7 linked regions of the Callithrix jacchus genome follow. The protein of the gene in region 2 purifies or fractionates together with the protein of the main gene of each other region. This does not show direct contact. Links are inferred from orthologs where the notes say so. Each region holds a gene or a part of one and is shown on either strand. Other genes may lie near its edges.

What was found.
Region 1: the proteins of CSNK1A1 (region 2) and DBR1 purify together in Homo sapiens (affinity purification with mass spectrometry; 3 studies listed by BioGRID and IntAct, with this or other methods). This does not show direct contact. The link is inferred for Callithrix jacchus from reciprocal best matches to the Homo sapiens genes CSNK1A1 and DBR1.
Region 3: the proteins of CSNK1A1 (region 2) and FAM83H purify together in Homo sapiens (affinity purification with mass spectrometry; 9 studies listed by BioGRID and IntAct, counting the BioPlex papers as one, with this or other methods). This does not show direct contact. The link is inferred for Callithrix jacchus from reciprocal best matches to the Homo sapiens genes CSNK1A1 and FAM83H.
Region 4: the proteins of CSNK1A1 (region 2) and FAM83B purify together in Homo sapiens (affinity purification with mass spectrometry; 5 studies listed by BioGRID and IntAct, with this or other methods). This does not show direct contact. The link is inferred for Callithrix jacchus from reciprocal best matches to the Homo sapiens genes CSNK1A1 and FAM83B.
Region 5: the proteins of CSNK1A1 (region 2) and SEC16A purify together in Homo sapiens (affinity purification with mass spectrometry; 5 studies listed by BioGRID and IntAct, with this or other methods). This does not show direct contact. The link is inferred for Callithrix jacchus from reciprocal best matches to the Homo sapiens genes CSNK1A1 and SEC16A.
Region 6: the proteins of CSNK1A1 (region 2) and UNC45A purify together in Homo sapiens (affinity purification with mass spectrometry; 4 studies listed by BioGRID and IntAct, with this or other methods). This does not show direct contact. The link is inferred for Callithrix jacchus from reciprocal best matches to the Homo sapiens genes CSNK1A1 and UNC45A.
Region 7: the proteins of CSNK1A1 (region 2) and RASAL2 purify together in Homo sapiens (affinity purification with mass spectrometry; 4 studies listed by BioGRID and IntAct, counting the BioPlex papers as one, with this or other methods). This does not show direct contact. The link is inferred for Callithrix jacchus from reciprocal best matches to the Homo sapiens genes CSNK1A1 and RASAL2.

What each region holds. Positions count from the first base shown.
Region 1 is NC_133518.1:46,156,841-46,160,998, reverse strand, and holds the start of DBR1 (lariat debranching enzyme), read right to left. Parts: upstream 2,801-4,158; 5' UTR 2,689-2,800; coding exon 2,492-2,688; intron 1,929-2,491; coding exon 1,804-1,928; intron 1-1,803. UniProt on the Homo sapiens protein: Cleaves the 2'-5' phosphodiester linkage at the branch point of excised lariat intron RNA and converts them into linear molecules that can be subsequently degraded, thereby facilitating ribonucleotide turnover.
Region 2 is NC_133503.1:48,201,020-48,204,519, forward strand, and holds part of CSNK1A1 (casein kinase I), read right to left. Parts: intron 1,483-3,500; coding exon 1,343-1,482; intron 1-1,342.
Region 3 is NC_133517.1:53,882,094-53,886,080, reverse strand, and holds the start of FAM83H (protein FAM83H), read right to left. Parts: upstream 2,801-3,987; 5' UTR 2,708-2,800; intron 411-2,707; 5' UTR 349-410; intron 155-348; exon of another isoform or gene 20-154; intron 1-19. UniProt on the Homo sapiens protein: May play a major role in the structural organization and calcification of developing enamel. May play a role in keratin cytoskeleton disassembly by recruiting CSNK1A1 to keratin filaments. Thereby, it may regulate epithelial cell migration.
Region 4 is NC_133505.1:63,231,472-63,234,971, forward strand, and holds part of FAM83B (protein FAM83B), read left to right. Parts: coding exon 1-720; 3' UTR 721-3,500. UniProt on the Homo sapiens protein: Probable proto-oncogene that functions in the epidermal growth factor receptor/EGFR signaling pathway. Activates both the EGFR itself and downstream RAS/MAPK and PI3K/AKT/TOR signaling cascades.
Region 5 is NC_133502.1:184,951,685-184,955,785, forward strand, and holds the start of SEC16A (protein transport protein Sec16A), read right to left. Parts: upstream 2,801-4,101; 5' UTR 2,786-2,800; coding exon 2,732-2,785; exon of another isoform or gene 2,685-2,731; intron 1-2,684. UniProt on the Homo sapiens protein: Acts as a molecular scaffold that plays a key role in the organization of the endoplasmic reticulum exit sites (ERES), also known as transitional endoplasmic reticulum (tER).
Region 6 is NC_133507.1:19,500,919-19,504,854, forward strand, and holds the start of UNC45A (protein unc-45 homolog A), read right to left. Parts: upstream 2,801-3,936; 5' UTR 2,761-2,800; coding exon 2,710-2,760; intron 2,544-2,709; coding exon 2,376-2,543; intron 2,101-2,375; coding exon 2,064-2,100; intron 1,775-2,063; coding exon 1,599-1,774; intron 1-1,598.
Region 7 is NC_133519.1:24,788,158-24,791,657, forward strand, and holds part of RASAL2 (ras GTPase-activating protein nGAP), read right to left. Parts: intron 3,067-3,500; coding exon 2,865-3,066; intron 829-2,864; coding exon 629-828; intron 1-628. UniProt on the Homo sapiens protein: Inhibitory regulator of the Ras-cyclic AMP pathway.

The sequences.
Region 1 (4,158 bases), on a different chromosome or scaffold from region 2:
TTTTTATATAATAATATGCCAGCAGTATATTAGTGATATAACAAAATATAAAGGAGATGTCTGGAATTAGATTAGCCAAAAGACTAAGCAGATTCTGGAAGGGACAAATGAGATAGTGTGCTGAACGTGAAACAGACATAACTTTGTACCTAACTGAATACAAGAGTGAGGTAGTGAGAGGAGGGAAATGTCCCATGATGGATTTATATGTTATAAACCTGAAAATCAACAGGCATAAGGTATAAAGAAGCTGCAGCTTCGTCTTTAAAAAAAGAAAAAAATTAAAAAAAAAAAAAAAGAAAAAAGAAGGCCAGGCGCGGTGGCTCACGCCTATAATCCCAGCACTTTGGGAGGCCGAGGCAGGTGGATCACGAGGTCAAGAGATCAAGACCATCCTGGTCAACAAGGTGAAACCCCGTCTCTACTAAAGATACAAAAATTAGCTGGGCATGGTGGTATGCGCGTGTAATCCCAGCTACTCGGGAGGCTGAGGCAGGAGCATTGCTTGAACTCAGAAGGCGGAGGTTGCAGTGAGCCAAGATCGTGCCATTGCACTCCAGTCTGGGTAACAACAGCGAAACTCCGTCTCAAAAAAATAAAAATAAAAAAGAAGCTGCAGCTTTCTAATATCATTTCTGAATGATCACATTCTGACAATTTCACTTTTTCACATTATAATATAGGATGAATACATTAAAAGATGATCAATAAGTAGTAAAGTAGGGAAACTAAATTTCTGAAATTACGATCTCGTCAAAATCTATAAACAGTTCTAGAAAGAATATATATTTAAATAAAGGGATGGGGCTGGGTGCGGTGGCTCATGCCTGTAATCCCACCACTTTGGAGGCCCAGATGGTCTGATCACTTTGAGCTTATGAGTTCAAGACCATGGACAACATGGTCAAACTCCATCTCCACAAAAAAAGTACAAAAAACAAAAAAATTGGCTGGGCATGGTGGTACACGTCTGTAGCCATAGCTACTTGGGAGGCTGTGGTGGGAGGATGGCTTGAGCCTGGAAGGCAGAGGTTGCAATGAGCTGAGATCATACCACTGCACTCCAACCTGGGCAGCAGAACCAGACCTTGTCTCAAAAAATAAAAAATAAAGAGATGAAAAGGCCATATAGTTTATAGGGGCTAATATTGAGACAATCTAATCAAATCTGTCAATCTAAAAGCAGATTATAGGAAATCCAAAGGATAAAAGGTTTTTGGTTTTTGGTTTTTGTTTTTTTGAGACAGAGTCTCACTCTGTCATCAGGATGGAGTGCAATGGCATGATCTCGGCTCACTGCAACCTCTGCCTCCCGGATTCAAGCAATTCTCCTGCCTCAGCTTCCAGAGGAGCTAGGACTACAGGCCCTACACACCACCATGCCCAGCTAATTTTCTGTATTTTTAGTAGAGATGGGGTTTCACCACGTTGGCCAGGATGGTCTCCAACTCCTGACCTCGTGATCAGCCCGCCCTGGCCTCCCAAAGTACTGGGATTACACGGTTGAGCCACCTCGCCGAGCTGGTCTTCTTTTTAATTCAATAAAAACTGTGATAAAAAAAGAAGCGACTACAAATAGTGCGCGAGGTCTTTGCAATTATATTAGCTAGTGGTTAAAACACTAGATGAAGGGTGTGGTTTCATGCTCACCTATTTAATAATTAAATAGTTTACATTTTCAGGATTAACTATTTAAATTAATGATATTCTCCAAACACCATACATCTCAAGAAACAACCCAACTAACGCAAATCCTGATAGGCTCTTCCATCCCAGGAAAAAAAATTATCCACAAACACATACCTAAATAATAAATGTTTGGTGCTACCCATCCACCATAGGGTAACTCTTGTAAATGATTTGAGGCTTCATGGTTTCCCCCAATGAAAAGTGTGAGAACTGGGGCCTTCTTCTCTCCAGAATAATACCTAGAACGTAAGAGCAAAATCAGTTACCACAAGTAGGCATAGCAGAAAAGCAAATAATTTCCGAAAAACAAAACCAAAAACTGACGTCATCATAAAAAGTTAAAAAGCTCTTTCAAAAGGAAGTGCCCAGTACCCATCCTTGCCCTTAGGAATGAAGAGCTTCCACCTTGGGCTTCAGGTCAGTGTACTTTCAATTAAGTCAAGAACTGTATTGAGTTCATTGCCATAACCTCATCTTTTAGAACCGCAACAAGCACTTAGCAGGCGCCCAGTAAAAACTCCTGGATCATTAAATGAATTCCAGAGTCCTATCAAGTACAAGGTAGCTTCTAAACCTGTCAGCTCCTTCCTCCAGGTTGTTCCCTCCCAGGCTTCAATCCCCTGTGAAATGGATAAGATGGTTGTATGGAAAGAAGGAAAGTGACATTTCCTAAGCGCCAGGTCCTAGAAACACAGAGCGAACAAAGACAGGATCTAAGGGAAACAGGCAGCCAGTGATAAGAGGGAAATCGAACACAGTCCCACCCCGCATAGCCTAGTCCCGGCCCGGGCCGCGTCCTCACCTGTAGAAGGTTTGCATGTGGCGGTACTTGGGCGGCACTGCCATGCAGCGTAGATCCGCCTCGTTGCGCACCGCCTGGAAGTCGCCGCAGCACAGCAAGAGGTCGACAGGCCCCGGACCGCGCTGCTCCGCCAGCGCCAGCGTCTCATAGATCTTATCCAGCTCACCGTGGCAGCAGCCGGCCACAGCCACCCGCATTCTGCCGGCCAGAGGAGGGGAGCGCTGCCTTCAAGCTCTACACCACAGCCAGCCCAGGCCCGACTGACCGCTCAGCTCCCGCCAACTTTAATAAGTAGAGCTGCCAACTGTCGTAGACTCCTGCAAAATAACTCACTTCCGGTTTCCAGATCTCGCGCGAGAGAGACCGGGAAAGGTAAACCTAACTCCAGGATCCCAGGGAAGTTTTTTTCTTTTTACCTTTTTAAAAAATATATATTATTGTTTTATGCAGTCAACAGTTATTTGTATATACATTCACAAACGTACTCTTTTCAGTCTTGCTCTTTTCTTCCTGGATTTCCATGTTTCTCTTTGGGATCATTTTTCTTTAGTCTGAAGAACTCACTTCAGTTTTCCTGTTTGTTTACTGTAGGGCAAGCACAGGTGAATTTTTTTCTAGATATTTGTTTGTTTAAAAATGTCTTTCCACTCTTGGGAAAATGGTGATGCCAAGCGCGGTAGAGCACGTCTGTAATCTCAGCTACTCTGGAGGCTGAGCCAGGAGAAAGAGAGATTTTGTTTCACCTTAATTTATAAAGGATGTGTTTACTGAGTACTGAATACCAGTTCAGCAGTTTGGGGTTTTTGTTGTTGTTGTTTCTTTGTTTTTACAAAGCATTTCAAAAATAGCGTTCTATTGTCTTCTGGCTTGCATTATCTTCTACTGAGAAGTCACCTGTAAATTTCATTGAAAGTAATGTGTCTTTTTCTTTGCTGTTTACTGTTTTATCTTTCTCTTCCTTCTCTCTGTACTCCTTAAAGCTATTTTAATATAATATGGCTGAGTGTTGTGGGGTTTTTTGTGTGTGTGTTTTTAAACCTATCCCATTTAGGCTTTTCTAAATCTATAGCTTGGTATCTTTTCAGTTTTGGAAAATTCTTGGCTAGTATCTCCTTAGATATTGCTTTATTTTTTTCTGTCTCTTCCTACTCCTTTGGAATTTTTTCCCTGATATTTTTTCTGTCTTTTAATTCTGTTCCATAGTTCTCATTCTTATCCACGTTGTATTTTGGATAGTTTCTAATAACCTCTCTTTACTAATTCTATTTTGTTCTATGTCCAATGTACAAACTCATTTATTAATGCTTTAACATCGTCCTTTTCAATTTTAGGATTTATATTGTATTCTTTTCCAGTGAAGCTAATAGTTTAAAGAACTTCTTTATCTTTTAATTTATTTCCTTCATCTTTTCCTCTCTTGCATATATTAATCATAGTTATTTTAGGTTGCCTATCTTCTAAGCCCAGTATCTTACTTATCTGTAGAGCTGATTCTATTGTCTGTTTTTGTTTCAATGGATTCTTAGTTTAAAAATCTCGATTCTTGACTAGGCGCAGTGACTCATGCCTATAGTCCCAGCATTTTGGGAGGCCAAGGCAGGTGGATCGCTTGCAGCCAGGAGTTCGAGACCAGCCTGGCTAACATGGAGAAACACTGTCTCTACTAA
Region 2 (3,500 bases):
GTCTTATGCAAGAAGCTACTATTTAAGGTGATTTTTAAAAGTTCATGTGTTACCTCTAAACAAAACTTTTCTCATGGAATCCAAAATCAGACAAACAACTGTCTTACAATTTAATTTTATTTATTTCTTTTTTTCACTCTTCACACACACAAAAAAAACCTTAAAGATAACAATTTAATTTTAAAAGAACAAAAAGGATTTAGCTAAACAATTCTCTAGAGAAATGAGCTTAATGAATCAAGCAGGGCAACATTTCTAAATTTTGCAGAAACTCATCAAGATAACTTAGGAGGCTGGGCTCAGTGGCTCACGCCTGTAATCCCAGCACTTTGGGAGGCTGAGGCGGGTAGATCACCAGAGGTCAGAAATTCAAAACCAGCCTGACCAACATGGAGAAACCCCATCTCTACTAAAAAAAAATATGAAACTAGCCGGGCATGGTAGCAAATGTCTGTAATCCCAGCTACTCGGGAGACTGAGGCAGGAGAATCGCTTGAACCTGGGAGGTGGAGGCTGTGGTGAGCCAAGGTCTCGCCATACCCCTCAACCCTGGGCAACAAGAGCAAAACTCCATCTCAAAAAAAAAAAAAAAAAAGTGCTGAAAAGGAGTTTACAACTTAAAACTAATGGAATATCTGAACATCTATATCAATGTATTCACACATACATATCTATACATACAAATATACAGATAGATAGGTTTAAGGATAGGTAATTCTTTGGCATATAGGACAAATGACATTACAGTTTAACCTAGGATATTCAGATATTCATGGGTATCTTAAGCTTGAAATCATTTGTATGAGGTTCTTAAACCTGGACGCATACCATTGTTTTTTCCAATTACTTCTATGTTTGTTTTAATGAATGAAAAGTGAGTAGAAAAGATGAACTTGAAACTCTAGAACTCATATGAAGAAACAGAAAGAGAGCAGAGACTGAAATTTTCTTACTTTAAACTAGATCCTATTAATTGACATATTTGAGTGAAGTATAACAGGAGATTAACATTAACCCCCTTTTGGTTTGTTAGGACACTAATAACATATTTTCAGCTGCAAAAAGAAATTTCAACATTGCACTTAGGCTTCTAACTTTCAATCAAGCAGTATTTTCCCCTCAAGAAACAACCTGCAACAACAACAACAAAAAACTAAAATACCTCATTTAACTGGCTTCTCAACGCTGGCTAAAGCAGCAGGTAAAATGATTAATAAGCATCCTTCAAATCCTCAGCCAAGAAACATTCTTAGACATTGTAAGGAACTAATTAAAATATTTCAAGAACCCCTTGACGGCTTCTGCTATGGCTATGATAAGCACATTCCATTTTCTAACTTACCTTTGCTCAATACCAAGATGTGCATTGATGCTAGCATATCGGGCAGTGCCAGTGAGGTTTTTATCTTCTCTGTATGGTATGTGTTGCCTTGTCCTGTTGTCTCTGTACTTTTTGGCCAAACCAAAATCAATAAGGAATAACTTTAAAAGAGAAATACAGAAACATTAGGTTTCCAACCTTGTTCAATTAAACTGCTTCTTATTCATTAAATGGAATCTATACTATGCATTCAAATATATCAAAATAAAGTATCCCAAGTATTACTAGAACAGATAATGAACAGACTTAACACCTCCCATAAGCTTTTACTAGTCTTCATCATTAAATCAAATTTTTAAAAAGTCTAGTAGTTTATTCTCGTCGTTTGCAAATCTCACAGGCCCATTTCATTACATACACAGGAGCCTGTCTTTATAAAGTAAGTAGAGAAATGTATACAAGACTGACAGCAGAAGTGACAAGTGTGCTACTTGTCATAATGACACCTGATAGTCTGTTACTATCGGTAAACAAACATCAGGTTTCAAAATCTAGATATAAGGGCCAAGAGCGATAGCTCATGCCTATAATCCCAGCACTTTGGAAGGCTGAGGCGGGAGGATCACTTGAGGTCAGGAGTTCAAGACCATCCTGGCCAACATGGCAAAATCCCATCTCTACTAAAATTACAGAAATAGCCAGGGGTGGTGGCAGGCACCTGTAGTCCTAATTACTCAGGAGGCTGAGGTAGGAGAATTGCTTGAACCCAGGAAGCAGAGGTTACAGTAAGCCAAGACTGCACCATTGCACTCCAGCCTGGGAGACAGAGCAAAAACTCCATCTCAAAACAAAATAAAACAAAAAAAACAGATATATGCTATCTCAACTCCTCCCTCCTACAAAGGCCAACAGAATGCTTGTTATCTACCCTAAAAGTCTAATACTGGCAGCGAAACAAAGCCTTTTTATTAATAAAAAATACTACTTAGCACTGACACAATACACGTGTTAGGCTAAACTTCTGGAAAATTTAACAAGCTGATATAAAAATCCCCCCAAAAAGCACTTAACATTTAAATCAGGGTGGCTTACAATTAGTAGTTTAAGTGAGCTAACTAAAAACAAAACTAGTGTTTAAAACAAAATAACGTTTAGTGTTATCTTGTCTATATGGTACTCGAGGAATAAGTTATTCATTTGGTTTTTTTTTCTTTTTTGCAGCAGAGAAACCTGAATAAAGGGTATTCATTTATAATGTAGCTAATTGTTCTATATAATTCAACTTTACACTCTAGAATTTAAGCCTTTTATAAGTAAATAACTATTTTTATGAGAGGGAAAAAAAACCCTCCAAAACATATTCATTTTACCTATCATATGAAGAGAAATAATCTTTCCTTAAGATTTTGGCCTTGGTCATAAAATCACCTATTATGCTATATTTTAATAATAGTTAATCTACAATTATTATTAAGCTGGGCAGGTCTATGTTCCCTTAAACTATATAGACCTAGTCTATTGTTCTCTAGTTATTCCTGCATTTTGTAGTTCTTCTCTCCATTAGGCTATTGGGTCCCTTTTGCCAGTTTATAATTTGTGATGTGCAGGGAAACACAATCACCTAACCTGCAGATTTCATGTCAATAAATAAATAAATAAATAAAGCAAGTTACTGATTTAGGTTATAAAGATCTGACCAAGTACCTCTCTTAGGAGCATGAGTAACATCTATTTCAGCCAAGCATTATAACCTATTCTCAATTATACTCTGAACAATAAGACACTGACATTTGAGCTTCAGTCACCATGTCGACGAGATACTTATTTTTACTTAGTTCACTATAAAAGAATGAAGACTAAATTATTAGTAAATGTTACTAGATGATGAAAACTCTCCAAGTAATAAGATTAAACTCCCTTCCTAAGCAATCAAATAATTATAGGAAAATTAGTGTTGTAAAACACTAAGAAATAAAGTTCATACTTTAAAAGTTTCTCTTGATATGAAAACCAGCTCAATACACAAATATTAAAATGAGCAAAATACATTTATTAAGCAAAACAAAAATGATGATTAAGTTCTGCAGATTCATAGTGAAAACAAAACATGGGGAAAATAAACACAAAAGGACATTCAGCTTCATGGTATTTTAAAAATATCTCTGAGGAATATGTAGAC
Region 3 (3,987 bases), on a different chromosome or scaffold from region 2:
CAGGCATGGTGGCACGTGCCTGTAGTCTCGGCCACTTGGAAGCTGAGGCAGAAGGGTCGTTTGAGTCCAGGCGTTGCAGGCTGCCGTGAGCTATGATTGTGCCAATGCACTCTGCCTGGGCCACAGTGAGACTGCATCGCTACAAAAAATAAAACCAAACCCTCTAAAACTTTCATGATTCTTGGTTTAAAGACAAACGTAATCTGGGCTACGTTCATCATTACAATATTCGCTTTTTTTCTTAAGATGTTCATGAGCCCCTGGCACTGTGCCTACTGAACAAGTTGGTCTGCCCATGCTGCCTGTGTCTCTCTGACTGCCTGGGAGACCCCGAGTAAGTCACTGCACCTCTCTGGCCTGTACATCTTCTGCACAACACAGCTGAGGGTCCACATGACGCCATGCTTCACCTAAGATGAGCAAACAGGGCTGTGACCACCCTCCTCCAGGAACGCGGAGGTCCTCGTTAGTGGACCTCAGCCACACCTCCTCCCCATCCTCAGTTTCACAGTTGGGTTCCCACAGCCCATCCTCTGACCACCCAGCCCTGGAACTGACCCCTAGACCCTGTCCCTGTCTACCAGCCCCTCTCCTTCCCTTGGCCCACCCTTGACCTCTCTCTTGTCACTGTCCCTCTTAGATGAAACCTCCCTGGGCCACAGCCCATTGGTGCCCACAGGTCCTTCAGGGCCTGCACTCCACAGCCCCCAGATCTCGCTCTTTACTTGCTCAGAGTCCTGTCCCCACCAACCCCAGTCCAAAGCAGCAGGGACCTTTCCAGGTCTTGGGCTCCCCACCACCATCCACGCTTGCCTGCCCCACAGCCCACCCTGTTCTCCAAAGGGTCCCTGCAGGGGGCCTGGCCTCTCCAGAAAGGTGTCTGATGGGGACCTCTATAGGGTGCCCAGGGCCCATGTGCACATGGTCATGGAGCTACCTGGGTACCTCTCCCTGGAAGGAGAGCCCTAGGGAGCACTCAGCCCATCCCAGTGCTCCTCAGGTTGCTGAGGGAGGCAGCACACCTATCCCCACCTAGCACACAGGTTCCTGAATGTTGGCCCTGGCTGGGGAGGCAGTTCAGCCCAGACAGAGGAGCGTGCCCTGGGGCGTTGACAGGATGGGCGCTGGCCAGCTGGACTGCATGGGTGCTAGCAGGAGCCACTTGGCTGAGAATGTTAAGGTCAGGCGGCAGCCGTCCTGCCTGGCGCACCTGGGGGTGACATGGAGTTGACACGTGGGAAATACCTGGTGCCACTCAGTTATCCAGCCCCAGATGCCAACCGGCCTGGGAGAAGCTGTCCCAACATTTCTTTGTTGAGGCACTGTCCTCATGGTTGACATGTGGGGCTGGTTAGGGCACACTGTCTTGATTGTGCCAGGAGCAGATCAAGGCCGACCACATGGGGGTGAGGGGCAGGCCTGTCTGGCTGGGTGGGGGCGCCCACTCACCACTGCCAGCCTGGCTGTAGAGGCAGTGTCTGATCACACAGGGCTTGAGGGAACAGCCCTGCTGATCTTGAGGGGCACTTCCTGCTGCTGGGGGGGCAGCACTCTAGAAAGGACCCCCACTGTCCCTTTGGATTTCACAGGGTAGGGGAGTCAACAGTGTCCAGGCTGTGTGTAATGTGGGCAGGGACTGTCAGGACTGTGGAAGCCCCTGTGGCCAAAAGCCCTCCAGCAGACACCAGCGTCCACACAGAGTGATGCCAATGGCTTCCTCCAACGACTTCATTCCCCGTGTTGTCCCCTTTCATGGGTCCGTGTCTCCCCAGCTATGGACGGGGCCGCAGCCACTCCCGAGCCTGAGATGGAGCACTCCAGTGGCCTGCATGCCTACACATTTGTGTAGCAACGCCTGCCCAAGGGAGGGAGGGCACGGAACCCACCCATGGCCAATGACTCAGCACGAATCCACTCTTCTGCTGACCCCGATCTGTGACTTGAGGTCAGGGCTCTCAGCTGGACTTTAAGGACCCCATCCTCTCCACCCTGGCCGTAAGTGGGGTATCTGGAAGGAGGACCCCATGGAAGGATCCAGAGTTCCTACACCAAGTGGGGTGAGCCTGTGCCGTTCCAACGGGCACAGGAGGGCGTGGAGGCTCTAGGAGGCGGAAAGGTGGGGTGGGGAGGACGGAGCTCACAGACCGGAAGTCGCTCAGTGATAGTTTGCGGGGTGGGCACCCCAGCGCCCAACGTGGTCAGCGCACCCTACGCGTTCGCAACTGCGGCGGCTGGGGGCCCCATCCGCCCACCCCACCCCAGGAACGTGGGCACGAGAGGCAGCACTCCCGTCGCTCGTCCTGCTCTCCACGCGGGGATCCAGGCCGCACTCTGGCTACCCCACTCCACGGCGGCCGTCCCCAGGGACGGGTCCAGCCCGTGCCCAGCACCCAGACTCCAACTAGGCCGCGAGGGCGGGACCAGGCGGCCGGGCAGGCTGGACCCGGCCCCGGGCCCCTTCCTATCGGCTCTTCGCGGGCCGGCGTCGTGCGAGGGCGCTCGCGTCCAAATCCGCGCAGCGGCGCCCCCTGTCCGAGCCGCCCCCCGCCGCCCCGCGCACGCGGCCGCGCCCCAGCTCCAACGCCCCTCTCTGGATCGCGCGGCCCCGGCCCAGGTGCTGGCGCGAGGGCGGCCCAGGTGGGACCGCACCGAGGGGCGCCCGCCCCCACCTCGCCCCGCCCCTCCGGGCCGGGGGAGGGGGCCCTACCTGGCCAGGTGCGCGGGGTCTCGGCACAGGGGCAGCAGGAGCCGACCGCCGCCCAGCGGCCTCGCGGTCCGGTCGGTCCGGCAGCCACTCCCTGCGCGGCCCGCCCGCCGGCCCGGCCTGATTCACGCGCCCGCCCCCGCCCCGCCCGGCGCTCCTGCCTCCTGCCTGCCCGGGCAGCACCTGGGGGCGGGGCGGCCCCACCCGCGGCGCGCCCGCATTCCTGCGCCCCGGCCCGCGCCCCGACCGTCCGCCCCGACCCGCCCGCACCCTGCGGGGACCCCGGCCCAGCGCCGCCGGAGGCCGTGAGGCCCTCACTTCAAAGACCCCGGCCCCGGGGAGCCCAGCTGTTGACCCCAGGCTCAAAGTCCTAGGCTGACCCCTGACCCTCGCCCCGGAAGTCGGGGTGACGCGGAAGTTCCGGCTCGGTAGCTAGGAAACGAGCCAGCCCGACGCCAGGGGCGGAGCTCTGGCCTCCTGGCCAAGTTGGGGAGGCAGGTAAGGCAGGTGAGTACGCTGCGGCGGCGCCGAGCGCCGGGTGGGGCCGGGTCTGGGAGCCCCGAGAGCGCAGGGGATCCCTTCACCACACACCGGTCTCCTTCCGCACTGGCGCCCAGACGTAGAGGGGACGACCCCACCCACACAGAGGACCCCCAGGCCCCGGCTCCCCCACACACACTGATGCCCACAGCACCTGGGGTGCCCTATTGTTCTTCCTCATCCCCGTACACCGACGCCCACCCGTGTAGGGGACACTGCACACACTGACCCCCTGCACAGACGAACCCCAAATGACCTGTCCCTCATCCTTCATGTACACCGACCCCCCATGCACACGCGGGCCTGGAATGACCCGTTCCTCATGTACACCAACCGCACAAGCACAGAAGAATCCTCAGGAAGGCAGAACCCACAAGCACACTCAGTCTTGCACACCAGTCACCCAGGAACACGCTGACGTCTGCGCACGTGGAGAACCCCACCTGCAATTGGGATCCCTCAGACACTGACCCAGGGGATCAGGCAAACAGGGGATGCCATATTCACACTGACTCTGAGAGCACAGGGGACCTCTCTCACACATATGGAACCCTGGGTGTACACACGGGGACCCTACAAAAACCAAGTCCCACACAGACAAGGGACCCAGCGTGCACATCAAGCCCCACATGCCAGGTGCCCCTCCCCCGCCATGTACACAGCAACCCCCACACATCACCCCAAGCTGCCCCTGGTGCTCCAGTCCCCCCAGGTTCCCCTCAGGCCCTCGCTTAGGGCCCCTC
Region 4 (3,500 bases), on a different chromosome or scaffold from region 2:
CAGAAGTTAAGGTCATTACTTAGCCTCACCCCAGATAAGAAAGAAAATCTATCCAAAAATAAAGCGCCTGCCTTTTATAGATTGTGTAGTAGCTCTGACACGTTAGTTTCTGAGGGTGAAGAAAATCAAAAACCAAAGAAATCAGATACAAAAGTTGATTCATCTCCTAGAAGAAAGCATTCTTCCTCATCCAACTCTCAAGGCAGCATCCACAAAAGTAAGGAAGATGTCACAGTTAGCCCATCTCAAGGGATAAATGCTCCATCAGATGAAAATAAAAGAACACCTTCTCCAGGCCCAGTTGAAAGCAAGTTCTTGGAAAGGGCAGGACATGCCTCTGCCCCAAGATTTAACACTGAACAGATCCAATACCGAGATTCAAGAGAGATTAATGCTGTTGTTACTCATGAGAGAAGACCAACTTCTTCTCCAAGGCCAACACCCAATGAACTTCTACGAACTCATTCAACTGACCGGCGTGTTTACAGTCGTTTTGAGCCATTTTGTAAGATTGAGAGCTCTATTCAACCAGCAAGCAACATGCCAAATACTAGTATACATCGCCCAGAAATGAAATCTGCGACTATGGGCAACAGTTATGGCAGGTCTAGTCCAATGCTTAATTACAACACTGGCGTTTATCACTCATATCAACCGAATGAGAACAAGTTTCGAGGATTTATGCAAAAGTTTGGAAACTTTATACACAAAAATAAATAGCTATTAAAATGCAAAATGAATGAGGCTATAAATATTTGTCCAAAGAAAATTGTGGACAGTCTTTGTAACATGCCAATAGATTTCCCTAAGAACAGAATGATGGGTATGATGTATATGTTCACCAGTGTACCATATAAAGTTATTTTTCTGTGTGATAAAGTTATGGTCTGCTGTAGATAGAATATCTCTGTAAACACATAATTTGTAAGTGGTAATGGTAAAAATATCAGATATATTTAAATCATTTTCTTTAGACTGAAGATCTTAAGTCTCACTTAGAGACTTTTGTGGATGATGTATGGTATATGGATTTTAACCATTTCCTTTTAAAAAGGTCATACTACCCTCAGTAATCCTTTATAACATGTCTTTATAGTGTTTTCATATCTTCAAAAATATAAGCAAATGGGACTAAGGCTTTTTTAAAATTAACTTTAAATTCTCTAGGATAACTTGTTATAGTTTGTTAGTATTAATTTTTCTGTGGAACATTGTACAGATATTTGGGCAACAGCAGTTCCATTTGAACTTTTTTTTTCAAATTTTGCCTGAAGTGTTTGCAAAATATCATCCTCATGTAGTGTAATGACATTCATAGAAATTTATTTTCCTAAGCCTTTGAAACTGTCTGGGATGTGCTTCTTTCTTCTCTGGATGCAGGGAGCTGTACTCCTGCCATCCTTAGGCTGCTGATTTTTTTATAGTCATTCCTTACTTCACATTATGGGTTAAATCCATATACCTACTGATAACAAATCAGTAGGAATTTAGAAAACCTGAATGATTACCCCTCCTTTCTTTATTCTATAAAAGCTTTTAGAAATGTAAAATTCTGCCTTTAATTTTTTAGATTGCCGTGACAATGCTAAGGGGTCTTGCTTTTGAAAATTCTTGATTTTTTTTTTTTTTTTGAAATGGAATCTCACTGTATTGCCCAGGCTGGAGTGCACTAGCATGATCTCAGCTCACTGCAACCTCTGCCTCTTGGGTTCAATCAATTCTCCTGCCTCAGCTTTCTGAGTAACTGGCATTACAGGCAGGCGTGGTGTCACCACACCCAGCTAATTTTGTATTTTTAGTAGAGACGGGGTTTCACCATGTTGGTCAGATGGTCTCAAACTCTCACCTTCATGATCTGCCCGCCTCAGCCTCCCAGAGTGCTGGGATCACATGTCTTGCTCTTCTTTAAGTTGTGCCACTTACAATATGACTGCATAGTGTTTTCATAAGAATATAATTGGGAAAATGAGAAGTTGTACTAGCCTAGTTCTGCCATGATTTAAGGATGATTTCAGATTATAAGATACCCTTTTTCTTACCGTAACGAAGTGTAAGCTCCATATCTGTTCCAGAGACTTTAACTTGACTTTGCTTCATTCGCAAAGAACAGAATTCAAGAAGCAATATATCCTGTGAGAAGTGTGAAGTGTTTTTACATCACTTTAAATATATTACTTAATATATTCTAAGTTGCTGTGTGAAGCAGTATACTGTTGTTTTAAAAATGCAAGATTGATACAAATTTTAATATGTCTCATTGAAATAATTAAAATAATGGCATTAAAATATCTATGTAATTAAAGTAATTTTCCATAGTGTTTGGAAACCATGAAAAAAAAGAGAAGAAAATATGACAGGAAAAGAAAGCCTAACAGAGCCCAGAACCCACAGTTAACCAAACTAGACTGACTTTGTTATTACCCATTCTCTGTTAATATTGGATGGGGATTTAGGATAATGAGCCATTAGTCAGTTCTGAAATGGAAGGCTCTGAAATTTAGTGCAATGTAACTTTAAAACTGAAATTATATAAAGACTAGAAGTGTAATCATGTTTGATTACAACCAAAAACCTGTTGCCTTTTTGTGCAGAAATTTTCTTAATTTCAGGAAATATAGATAGCTTATGGAAACATCCTTCTAAATAGTTCCTGAGCTCTTCCTCATAAGTGTATTTGAAGAGTACAGAATGCTTTATTTCATCAACCCATGACAGGTAACTTAGGCTTTTGCATAGCAGATTTATTTTTCTCTGCCTTTTAAAAAAATTGTTTTTCTTGTTTTTTTTTTTCAAAAATACCTATATTTCAGAATATGTACATAACTTACCAAAGGCTCTGTGGCCAAGAAACTTTCCAGGGATAAGACTAAGCAAAAATATAATACTTCAAAAAATTTATAGCTACTGTTTAAGTTTTAAACAGACACCATCACAGTTTGTGGATGAAATAGTTTTAAGCCATATACTTTCTGTCTTAAGCCACATGCTTTCTCCCCATATTAACATTAGGGGACTGATAATGTCACTTTGACGTACTTTGATATTAAAGTTTGGTAGTTTTACTCTCTACATAGTTCTGTACATTGGTTTGTAAGCAGAAACACAAGGCAAATGGGTAAAATTTCAAAGTAGTTCTTGGCAGACAGCTAGAGAATAGTGTAAGTGACTTGTATCCCGAATACGCCGCTTTACCTCTGTTAAAAGTTTGGGAATAACCATAATTCTGACATGGTGTTGAGGTATGGGTATATGTTGTCAGTCTACACTTGTGGAAGCAAATACCTTTTTTACTCAAGATGTCTAGTGTCATCTAGATAAATAATGCCAAAAATTTAATTCTGGCTGAATTCAGCTTTACTCAAGATCCACCTGTTCAACTGTCATTCCACAAATATTTCTGTGTTCTGTGAATATCTGTTGATTTCTTAGTGTGCCTGTGGCTAAGGGATGCAAAGTAGAATTGTCCTTTTACATTGACTATAGGTGTGACATGTACGATG
Region 5 (4,101 bases), on a different chromosome or scaffold from region 2:
GAGTCGACGTCTGACTTATTGATTCCCAGTGTTGGGATCCGAGCAACCCACTGTGGCAGCCTAAATAGCAGCGGTAAGACTGATGGTGCTCTTCTGCCCGGGAATCTCTGGTCTGGCTTCCCTCTTGAGTCCGCAACAAGCGGCTCTGACTTCCCGGAGCTCCAAACTCCAGTCAGTAGGGGAAGCAGTCCCGTTGGCTCTGCATGAAGAGCTGCGGCACCGAGACGCCGGCAAAACCGCTGCGGCGGCCACAAGAGTCGCGCTGGCGACCCGTGGGGCTCCTCCACTGGGAATCAGCTGATCAGTGAGTGACGAAAATTTGTCTAAAAGTGTGGCGTCGTCTCATTCTCTGGGCTTTCACTGGGAGCTACAATCCTGAGCTGTTAGTGGTCGGCCATCTTGGATCGATCCTCGGACCTCAAGCTTTATTCCTCGGCTGCTGCTATGACAGCAGAACTGGGCATTCGAGTGAGTGGCTCGAAGCAGCCATGACTCTTTCGGCAATGTGTTTTTATTACCAAATGAGAGAATCAATGTGATTATTTTTTTCCTAAAACCATGGGTTTAACCTTATGAGATTCTACTCATGGTAGATTCGGGATGTCCTAATCCCACCTGCTGTTTAACAGGGGAATCTTATCAGAATCTAAATTTCACTGGTTTATACTTAAATGTTTTCCTTGTAGACATTTTCTTAAAATTATTCTGCAGCTCTCCTCCTAGACTAAGAACTTTCTTTTTTTCTGAGATGGAGTCTTGCTCTGTTGCCAGGCTGGAGTGCAGTGGCATGATCTCGGCTCACTGCAACCTCTGCCTCCTGGGTTCAAGCGATTCTCCTGCCTCAGCCTCCTGGGTAGCTGGGGCTACAGGCGTGTGCCACCATGCTCGGCTAGTTTTTTGAATAGTAGTAGAGACAGGGTTTCACCCAGAATGGTCTCCATCTCCTGACCTTGTGATCCACTTGCCTCACCCTCCCGACATGCTGGGATTACAGGTGTGAGACAGTGCGCCCAGCCCAACTAAGAACCTTTTAAATAGCAAACACTATCACTTACCTACAAAGGAGCATTCTAACCCTCATGCTCCCTAAATGAGAGCTTTTTAGCAACTCGCCAATTTCATTTGGAACAGTCTTGTGACCTGAACTGATTTTTATCTTTTTCTCTACTCACCAGGAGAAAGCAATGCCACTGCCTATCACCTATGTCACCACTACAAGGGAGCTAGCTTATTTAAGTCATCTAAGTCTTTCACTGTTTCAAAGAGGCCACCTGACCTTGAAGATGCAGTATTCATAAACCTAGCTAGTCAGTTAAATTGCCTTGTAACCATATGCACACCTAAGCAAAACTCTTTTCAGTAGAGTTCTGGCTACAGAACTGAGGTAAACACGCGCACACCCTTCTTCACTGTCACTGGCCTCACATTTTAGGTAAAGAAAACAAAGGTGTTCCAGGAAGCCTCTGAGCTTACATGCTGCCCAGTCTCCCTCACGGTGGCAGCTAGTGACTCCCTGTCAGACAATGGGATGCTTAACACAAAGACATGATAAACTCCAACTCTTCTAAGTTAGAATCGCAACCACATAAAGTTGGGTGTTGAAGACGAAGCCAGCGGCAGAGGCAGCCAGCAGCCTAGTACTGCTGAAAATGACCAAGACCCAAAAGGACACCCCGGTATTCATCAAGGATATTTACAGAAGAGGAAATCATATTGACATTTACCCACTACCATGGCCTCTCAGGTTTGGCAGAAAAAAGAAAGAAAGAAAGAAAATGTACCCACTGCCTCAAAGAAAACTTTCAGTACAATTCTGAGACTCACTGTAGTAACCACTATTAACAGTAAACGAGGAACAGGGAACAAGAAAGAAACGTTACTTTGCCTCTTTTCTGCCAGATACCAGCACCGGAACCCTAAGAAAGGAGACGGGGAAAAATGCAGGGAGGCTGCCTTGTGCTGAAACTTGCAAAAGTATCACTCGGGAAGAACTGTCTGCGGTTCTGTTTGCTTCGTACTGCCACATGGGGGATGGGAAATACCTCTTTGGTTAACATCGGCATCATACACGTAAAACGCAATCTTAATATACAATCCACACCCAACCTACAAGCCACTTAAAAGTGTTCTTAAGTGAAGCAGCAAAAACTGACTTTAAATCGCTCCGATGTTTCTGAAGCCTCTACTGTAACACTTCCATGACAAAGGGGCGAGACGGATCACACACACTCCTCTAACCCTCGGCCTCTGTTGCAACACCCGGATCGCCCTATCAAGAAATTACAAATAAACAACTCTGCTCCTTGGTTCAAATGTAAATCTCTCTTCACCAGCACCGCTAAGGAAACCTTCCAGCCGGTGAGGACAAGACACGTTCATTTGAAAAGCTGGGGTTTTACGAGGGGTGCCTGGGGTAAGCCTCCCGCCGGGGGTACAGGCGTCACCGCGGCCCAGCCGGGTCCACGTGAGTCCCTTCAGTCCCACGGCGCGCCTTGCCGCGCCCGGCCTCCCGCTCCAGCCTGCGGACCCCGGCGTCAGTCTCCTCGCCCGGCTCCGACGGGACCCGAGCTGCGCCGCCCGCTAGGGGCTGGGCCTCGCCGCCTCCCCTCCGCCGCGCCCCGGCCTCCACTGCCTGGCTCCTCTGGCCGGCCTCCGCCTTCCTCGTCCCGCGCTCGCCCCCTCACCCGCGCGGCAGAGATCGGCTGCTCAGGAGCCGCGCGTGAAAGCCCACCCGGCGCTGATGACGAGCGCAGACACGGAAACTGCCGCAGCCATCTTGGCACATCCGGCTCCGGTCTCCGCGGCCGCCGCGCCGCCGACGTGTCCGTCTTGCGACATCAGCGCGCGCCCCGCCCCTGTCCCCGCCCCTCGGCTCGGCGGCCCAGTTGCATTCTCATTCATCCCTTTACGGCCCAGGCCTCGTCCCCGGCCCTCGCCGGCGTCCGTCCCCTTCAGCCTCATCTCTGTCCCGCCGCCCTTATCCCCGCCCTCGCCGGCGTCCCTTCTTCCCCGCCTCATTCTTTCGTCCCGTCCCCCGCCCGTCTTTCCGCGCCGTCTCCTGTAGTTCCCTCCCCTTTGGCCCCGCCCCTCGGCCGTCCCTCCCGGCCCGTGGCCCCGCCCCCCGCCGGCGTCCATCCACCGCCTCACCGCTTGGCCCCGCCCCTCGCCACCTGCCCAGCCGGACGCGCCGGGGCCGCCCCGGGACGTCGCCTTGGTTACGCTGGCTCTTTCTCCCAGTCTTTTTTCGTTTTAAGATGTGAGAAGTGATGGGATTCTTCACTCAAGGCCACAAGGGGGAAATCAGTCTGCAGGACCGATGCTAGCAGGCTCACGCAGCGAGAACGGCTACTCTGCCTCACTGAGAAGCGCAGGGCCCTCACGCGGGCGCGCTCCTCTCATTCTTCCGTTGGGCCGGGAGGCTGGAGGGCAGGAGGCGGCGGCGGCGCCGGCGCATGCGCCGAGGGCGGTAGGAGCTGCGGGCCGCCGAGGGCCTACTGCGCCTGCGCGCTGGTTGCCTGGCTACGGCGCGATCGCGGGCCCTGAGCGGCGCCGGAAGTTGGTCGACGGCGACCGGCAGTGCCAGTCCAGGGTCCTGGGGTTTCCCCGACGCATCCTCTGCAGGCCGTTCGCTCCGCAGAGGCCCCAGCAGGGGAGGGCGGCCCGGCCACCGCGCGGAGCCGGGTCTTCGCCGACCCCCCAGAAGGACGCGCGGGCTCCACGTCCCCGAGCTCGGCCACGAGCCTGTGCCGCGCCGGGTCCTCCCACGCCCACCCCGGCCCCGGCCCCGGCCCCGCAGTCCTGCCGGGGAGGCGCGGTTTTCTGGCTTCGTCTCCTCGGCCTCCAGCCCCACGGGGCCCTAGGGTCCCAGCCCTGGCCTAGTGCACGTTGGTGGTGAGTGGGCGCTCGGGCGCCCACAGCGACCCAGCGGCGGGCGAGGCGTATGGGTGCTCCTGCCCCTGCGACGGCCAGGCCAGGCAGCATCCGTGCCCCCGCCCCCCGCGGAAGATCGCAGGGAACTGGTGGGCGCTGTCATCTGTGCCCTCATTTTCCGGAGGAACCCAGGGAGGCCGGGCGGGTGAGGAAGCGGCCATCCGTGTACCG
Region 6 (3,936 bases), on a different chromosome or scaffold from region 2:
TGACATGCATTTGTCCTAGCTACTTGGAAGGCTGAGATAGGAGGATCACTTGAGCCTGGGAGGAGGAGGTTGCACTCCAGTCTGGGTGACAGAGGGAGAGCCTGCCTCAAAATACTTAAATACAAATAAATCTAAAAAAATAAAATATTGTTTTTTATTTACACACCCAGTGTCCCCACAGAAAAAATATAGCATTGTTTTGCTACGTAAGGGATCATTAACATAAATGATATTATACTATGTGTGCTATTATATATTTTTCTTCTTTTCTTCTCGGAAAGACACAGCGCCTCACTCTTTCAGCCAGGCTGGAGTGCAGTGGTACCATCATAGCTCACTGACCTGCAAAATCCAGGGCTCAAGGGATTCTCCTGCCTCAGCCTCACAAGTAGCTGGGACTATAAGGGTATGTCACACCCAGCTAACTAAAGTTTTTATAACAACAGGGTCTCACTATGTTGCCCAGGCTGGTCTCAAACTACTGATCTCAAGTGATCATCACACCTTGGCCTCCCAAAGCACTGGGATTATATGCATGAGCCACCATGCCCTGCCTATTTTGTGTTGTTCATTCAACAAGTGTCCCAGAGCTTTCCACTTCAATTGAATTGAATTCAATTCAATTACTCAGTGTATTCAGCCATTTCCCTATGGCTGGGCATTCAGGCAAGTTCCAAGCTTTTCTTACTACAAAAAGGGCTGAAATAAACATACACATGTCTCCTTGTACCCATGGGCAAGGTTTCTCTGAGAGAAACAGCAAGAAGTAGGCCAGGTGTGGTGGCTTACGCCTGTAATCCAAGCACTTCAGAGGCCAAGGCGGGCGGATCACCTGAGGTCAGGAGTTCAAGACCAGCCTGACCAACATTGTCTTTAAAAAAAATAAAAATAAATTTAAAAAACGAAACAGCAAGAAGTAAACATATGGGATCACAAGATACACTCGTTTCAAATGTAATAGATATGCTAAAGTACTCTCCAAAAGAGCTGTACCAATTTATACCCCTCCAGCAGTCATCAGAGAGCCCTTGGCCCCCGGCCTCACCGTTGACATGTCTGCCTCTCCCCTCAAAAAGTGTCCTTTCAGGCCAGGCGCGGTGGCTCATGCCTATAATCCCAGCACTTTGGGAGGCCGAGGCGGGTGGATCACGAGGTCAAGAGATCGAGACCTTCCTGGTCAACAAGGTGAAACCCCGTCTCTACTAAAAATACAAAAATTAGCTGGGCATGGTGGTGTGTGCCTGTAATCCCAGCTACTTGGGAGGCTGAGGCAGAAGAATTGCCTGAACCCAGGAGGCGGAGGTTGCGGTGAGCTGAGATCGCACCATTGCACTCCAGCCTGGGTAACAAGAGCGAAACTCCGCCTCAAAAAAAAAAAAAAAGTGTCCCTTCTTTTAAATATCTGCCAAACAGACCACCAAATCAGCAGTAATGTGCTGTCATCTGAATTTGCTTTTCCCTGGCCACAGGCAAGGTTGAGCAGAACTCTCTATGTTCACCTGCCATCAGTATCTCTTCTCTGGAGAACTGTCTATACCCCTGGCCCAGATCCCTTCACCACTGATCAGTGCTTCCACCTGTCTGGGTCACTCACATACCTTCTCTTGAATCTGGCCCCCGATGTTCCGCAAGGCCTCCTGGAAAACTTTGTTCTTGGGTTCCAAGCTCACACATCTCTTCAGGTCAAGGACAGCCTGGTCTAGGCGGCCCAGCTTCTCTAGGGCTTGGCTCCGCCGGTAGAGTGCCTTGACATCCCCACCATCCTTTTCAATGGCTGAGCACAAACAGGAGCGCTGTCAGCACCCATGAGGCCACCGTCGTCAGGCAAGAGCAGTAGGGACAGATCTCGAGGAAAAGCCAGAGGAAGGTGGGGGACGAATATGGGGCTCGGTGCTTCAGCCTCAGAAAAAGTAAGGGTAGCTGCAGAAAAGGCAAAGCCCGAGGCAGTGGGAAAGAAAGAAGGCAGATGTGTCTCCGGGGCAAAAGGAGGGGAATGTGATGGTCCCACAATCCTCAACCTCCAGAAGCCCTATAGTGCTACTCGAGGGCCCACCATTCCCTACCTTTGGACGCCTCTGTTTCTGCTTTGTCGTAATCTTCCTGTAAGAGAAAGACAGAAGCCGAGTGGGGAGGGGGGGAGATAGGAGCCGAATGAATGGTCACCTCCCTCTAGGGGGTACTAACCGGGCAGTGGGGTACTCTCATTCTCCAAGGTCACCCAATCCCCCACGACCCTGAGGTGCATTCCACATCTAGCAAGCGGGGTGGCCTGGAAGCGTGAATGTCCAGCTGGGGCCCAAGCAACAGCTCAGATGCCCAAACCGGGTCCCGGGAGGGTGGGGAAGTTGGAGGGGAAGGGCACCCGGCTCCCTCACCAGCTTGAGGTGGCAGGCGGCCCGGTTCCGGTGCAGAATGGCCTGGTCCTGGGGCGTCGCGTCCAGACCCAGGGCCTGAGTGTAGGCCGCCAGGGCGCCCTCGTAGTCTCCACATTTGAACAGCTCGTTGCCCTCTTTCCGCAGCTGCTCCACTGCCACTGAGTTGGCCTGTAGGGAGAAAGGGGCGGCCACGTCGGAGGGGGCTCGGGGCAGGGCCCAAGAGCTAAGAGGAGAGGAGAGGAGGGATTCAGGGGCGCCTCGTGGATGGGGAGGAGGAGGCCGGGACAGTCAGCGCGGTTGCGAAGGGGTGATGGCGCGGGGGTTGGGTACGCACTCTGGGGGTAGCCGGCCAGGGCTCGGGGGTCTCTGGACCACTCACAGTCATCGCGGAGAGGTAGTCCAGTGCCCGCGCAGGCGCAGTCTCTGGGGCGGGTCGGGTCTGGGCTCGGGACTCGGCCGGAAGCTGCCCCGCCCACTCTTGCGTCGGAGGCGGGGTCAGTGAGAGGAGGGGCTAAGGGGTGGGCGCGCCCGGGCAGGGGCGGAACGCTCCGCCCCGGATGACAGGTGCCAGCAAACTCCGCGCACCCCTAAGCTGTCCCAGCGGAGACCTGCAGGGAGCTCTCGGCAGAGGACCCAAAGGGAGGCCTGCAGTGGTTCTAGCCCCGACCCCGGCCCCGACCACAGCAGAAGTGCACGAGGTCTGCGGCCATCAGGGTCACAAGCAGCAGAGTGTAGACGCCTAGCGCTAGGAGCGGGCCCCGGCCCCTGCGGGAGAGAGAAAAGTCTCAGGATCCCAGCCCTGGCCGCGCTCTCGCTGCTGCGTTCTGTGGGGGTAGAGAACCCCTGGGAGTCCGGAGAACGCTCGGAACCCCCTCCCCAAATAAGCGTAGTCTGACATGCACACATTTGCGTACGAATTTAGAGACACACACTGAAGCCACCCATGGGTAGATTCAGGATGGCTCCCCATTACCCGCTTGCACAGCCCCCTGATCGTGATTACGATTACAGCCGCCTTTGTAATCGTGATCATGATCTACATGATTTTCTGCTGCGGTCTGTCCCTTCACAACTCTAATTTACAAGCCTCCCACCCCATAGTTTAAGAACAGAACCCCAGATACTGAGACACCTTGTCGATGTTCCAGGGGCTCCGGGGCTGGAGATCTCACCTAAGGATGGATGGGTGGGGGCGGAAGAACGGACAAGTTGACTTGGTACAGGACCTCAAATTCAGCCTTCAGGTGGCAGCAGTAGGCTTCCTCTGGAGAATCAGAGAAGAGGGCAAGGGAAACCGGGGTAGTGGTGGCCGTCGGCATCCCAGGTGGTCTGGCACAATTGTGGATGGTGGACAGAGCTGAAGAGAAAGGTGGGGGGCTGGAAACAAGCAGGAGGGGTCTTGCCACAGCCCACTCCATGCCTTCTGGACGGTAAAAGACATCAGCCCTTACCAGAAGATCAGACACCCTTCTACCCATCACCTTCAGTTCCAGTCCCCAGGAGTCGTCCATAGCACAAGAGGAAAGTGGGTCACAGGAGGAAGTGCTGTACCTGAAAGAGA
Region 7 (3,500 bases), on a different chromosome or scaffold from region 2:
AGGGAATTATTACAATTCTCAGAATAAAATCCAGCATTTTTACTTTTTCTCCGAGGGTAGAGAGTAACATTGTAGATACCAACCCACCACTGTCTTCAGGATTCCAGTAATTTCCTAGTTAAATTTGAAACCTTCCTCAAATATTCCAATTCATACTTGTCTAAACCTTCAAGAGGAGAAGTTCTGATTGCACAACTGAAAGGTCCCTGCTAAAGGCACAAGTCTTACCAATCCAGAAAACATTCTAAGCATACATTGTGTCTACCTGTCCGGCTCACATAGTCAGCTACAAAATAGTTTTAACTGAGTTCTTCAAGATTTTGAATGCTAAAATGTATAGAAACATCAATTTCATAAAACCTTTAGTTTTCCGTTAAGCAAGATAGAAATTTAAAAAATATACTGTGGAATATATTGTAACTCTCCATACTATCACTCTAGAAAAGAAGTTATCCCAGATCTTGTGCATTATTATAACAAATAATTGGACTGCTTGCTCTCAGGTCAGATGAGTCTTCAATTACTCATGATTTTAAACTTGTAAATTCAACACATAGGTTAAATATACTTCTGTTAAATCTAAACATTATCTTTCTCTGAGATACTAGTCAAATCCTCTCTTTCATACCTGTCAGTGGGGTCTTCAAATATTTTCTGCAGCCCGGAGGAGAGGCTTCCACTGACATTGGGACTGGAGTTATGCTCAGTGAAGCGTCTCAGTTGCTGTTGTATTGGTGTTGGATTAGTCAATGACTTGGTAATATCAGCAAGAACACGAGGGAGAGGCCCCAGTTTTGCCACGGTCGCCTGTAGGAAGGAATTTTCACCCTAATTGGATAATAAGCATTGCGACATCCACCACAGATTGTTTTTGGCATAACGATGGCCATTGATGGAGGGGTGTAGGTTGGAGGGAAGGGTAGGTGTTTGCATATGGGAGTGGCAGGTTCATAATGCATTGTTATGGAGCAGCAGAACCATGGCGTCGAGATGAATGGAGGCGAAACAAGGTACAGCAGACATTGAGGAAAGAAAGGAAATCGAAATCAGGATTATGCAAATAAAAATTAAAAGACATGCTCAAAACTAGCAAACTAATGCCATTCCAACTAAAATAGGCATGCAAAGCAAACTAAATCTTTGGGAGTCTAGTAAATCAAGGTGGGGGAGGGTAAGGGAAGAACCAAACTCCTTCTAACCAAAAGAACTTCAAGACCACAGGATCAGCTAGTATGATAAAACTTTCAAAGAAAAGGGATCATGTGAGAAAAGAAATGCATGCCAACATACAAGGTGCTGCATTCAGGAATCCAGAGTACTGCAGGGCACACAAATGATACTGCCATCCACTATCATAGTCAATCTTGGAAACCCTGACCCACTGCCAACTGAGTTTCCATCAGTTAAGACAATTTTTGGTGTAATTTAACAGCAAAATCAGGTCAACTTTCTCTATGAGATATGTCTAGATATATTCCTGGTTCCCAGGAACAAACCAGGATTAAAAAGGAGAAAGTGTTTTCACAGCAAAGCCTGTTAAAAAGATCTTGATACTGAATAAACCAGGCCTATTTCACATGATAACTGAATCTGCATCCCACTGAGATGCAGTTATTCAACAAAGACTAACTCTTTATCCATCTCAATTATTTTTTTCTTTAGGGAATTCTTATTCTCATGGGGCCTTACGGGTCCCTTCAACTGTTAGTTTGACATAGTTGCCTTTGGGTCTTTGTCTTCTCAACAATCAACAGACTCTTCTACCCTACTCAAACAGGCACAGATGCCATCTGAAGAATACCTTTACTTGCTCAACAATGTTGGGCTATGATTCACATGAAAAGGATTTACCTTTGGCATAGCTGCAACTTAAAAATCTAGCTAGCATTTCTAAAAGTGAAGAAAAGGTCCTCAAGAATAAGTAACAGTTTATTGTTTTACAAATGTTTTAAGCACTGGAGGACACACTACCATTTATGTTTCCTCAGCAAAGTAGTCTTTGTTAATAGGTTTTATTTCCCTCCAAATTTTACTGGTATAGCATTTTTATCAACAGGAAAGTGGAGGAAAACAAATAAATCCTTATCACAGAAAAATAACTGTCTTTTGAAGTTACTGTAACATAACACCATACATATTTATAAAGTGCCTGTAGCAAACAAAAACATCAATAAATAATTATTGTAATCAGCCTAGCCAAACTCCATTAGACTATTTTTTTACTACCAAATTTATTCCTTTTTGTAAAATTCCAGAAGGAAGACAATGATTGGCATGATGTACATTTACTTATTAGTATGGTATATAATAAAATTCTTAGCAAACAAATGATTAAAAATAATTGTTTTCTGTATTCTTAATTCACATCTGTAAAGGAAGAAAACAGTAACTTTTAGCACTAAGAATTACATGAAACTCTCTGACTTGTAGAGTAAAAAAATTTGTTTCATGGGTAAAGTAACTTAAACATGATAAACCTAGTATTTTCTTAGCTAAGTCTACACTTTTGTTAGAAATTACCATATGAAGTTTCATCTCATCCTATTAGACATGCATAAGGCTGTATATAACAATATATTAGTTTCTAGTCAAGTTTTCAGATATGCACTCTGTATATATAAATTTAGAGAAACATACCCCATTAATTCAGATATTATTAAAAAAATATATTAATAATGTCATGGTTTTCTAGAATTTCATGGATGTAGATCCCATATTTTACTCAGAAGTGATGAACATTTCCTCTCAGATTTCCAAGGTAAAAGGTTGCTTTCAATTAGAAAGAGTGAGTGCTATTGCTCTATAGGTACTCTTCCAGAATTCAGGTACATGCAAGTTCTCTATCTTCCATGAACCTACTTTACCTTATCAAGTTGGGAAACTACTTCCCACAGTAAGGAATGCAAAACTGAAAGCTCTCGGCCCAGATCAATGTAACCATCAAAGCCTGGGGTGTTTGAGATGGTGTCTGGATTAGAGATCTCCAGAAGAAAGCGCTTCATTCCACCCCATTCATGTTCTAAAAAATCATTCATGAATGCCATGTATTCCTCTTTGTTACCAAACCTGAAGTAGAGGATGAGAAAATGAGAAAGAACATATTCAAGAAGAGAGATATGATCATTTTGAGTTGACTTTACACAGAACTATGACATTTTTTATTTTGTGGAGGGAATGACTAATTTTATTATCTGTAAGTGATAAATGCTATAACATACTTTCTTAATATCACTTTAATATTCCAATGCTTTGAATAGCTTTCTATTCTCCAAAGGGTAAAGCCAAAACTTTTTTTTTCTTCTGGTATTTAAATTTCTATGTATGGCCCTCACTTATCTACCAAATGCTCACCAGTACAAACCTTCAATACTGCTAGCTTCTTCAAAGTCTCCCAAATATATTATACATTTTTTTCTTCTCCAAGCTTTTGCCCATGCTATTTACTTGCACTAGAGAAAAACTTCTCTCCTTTGCCTATCTAGATTCTAGCTATCTTCAGG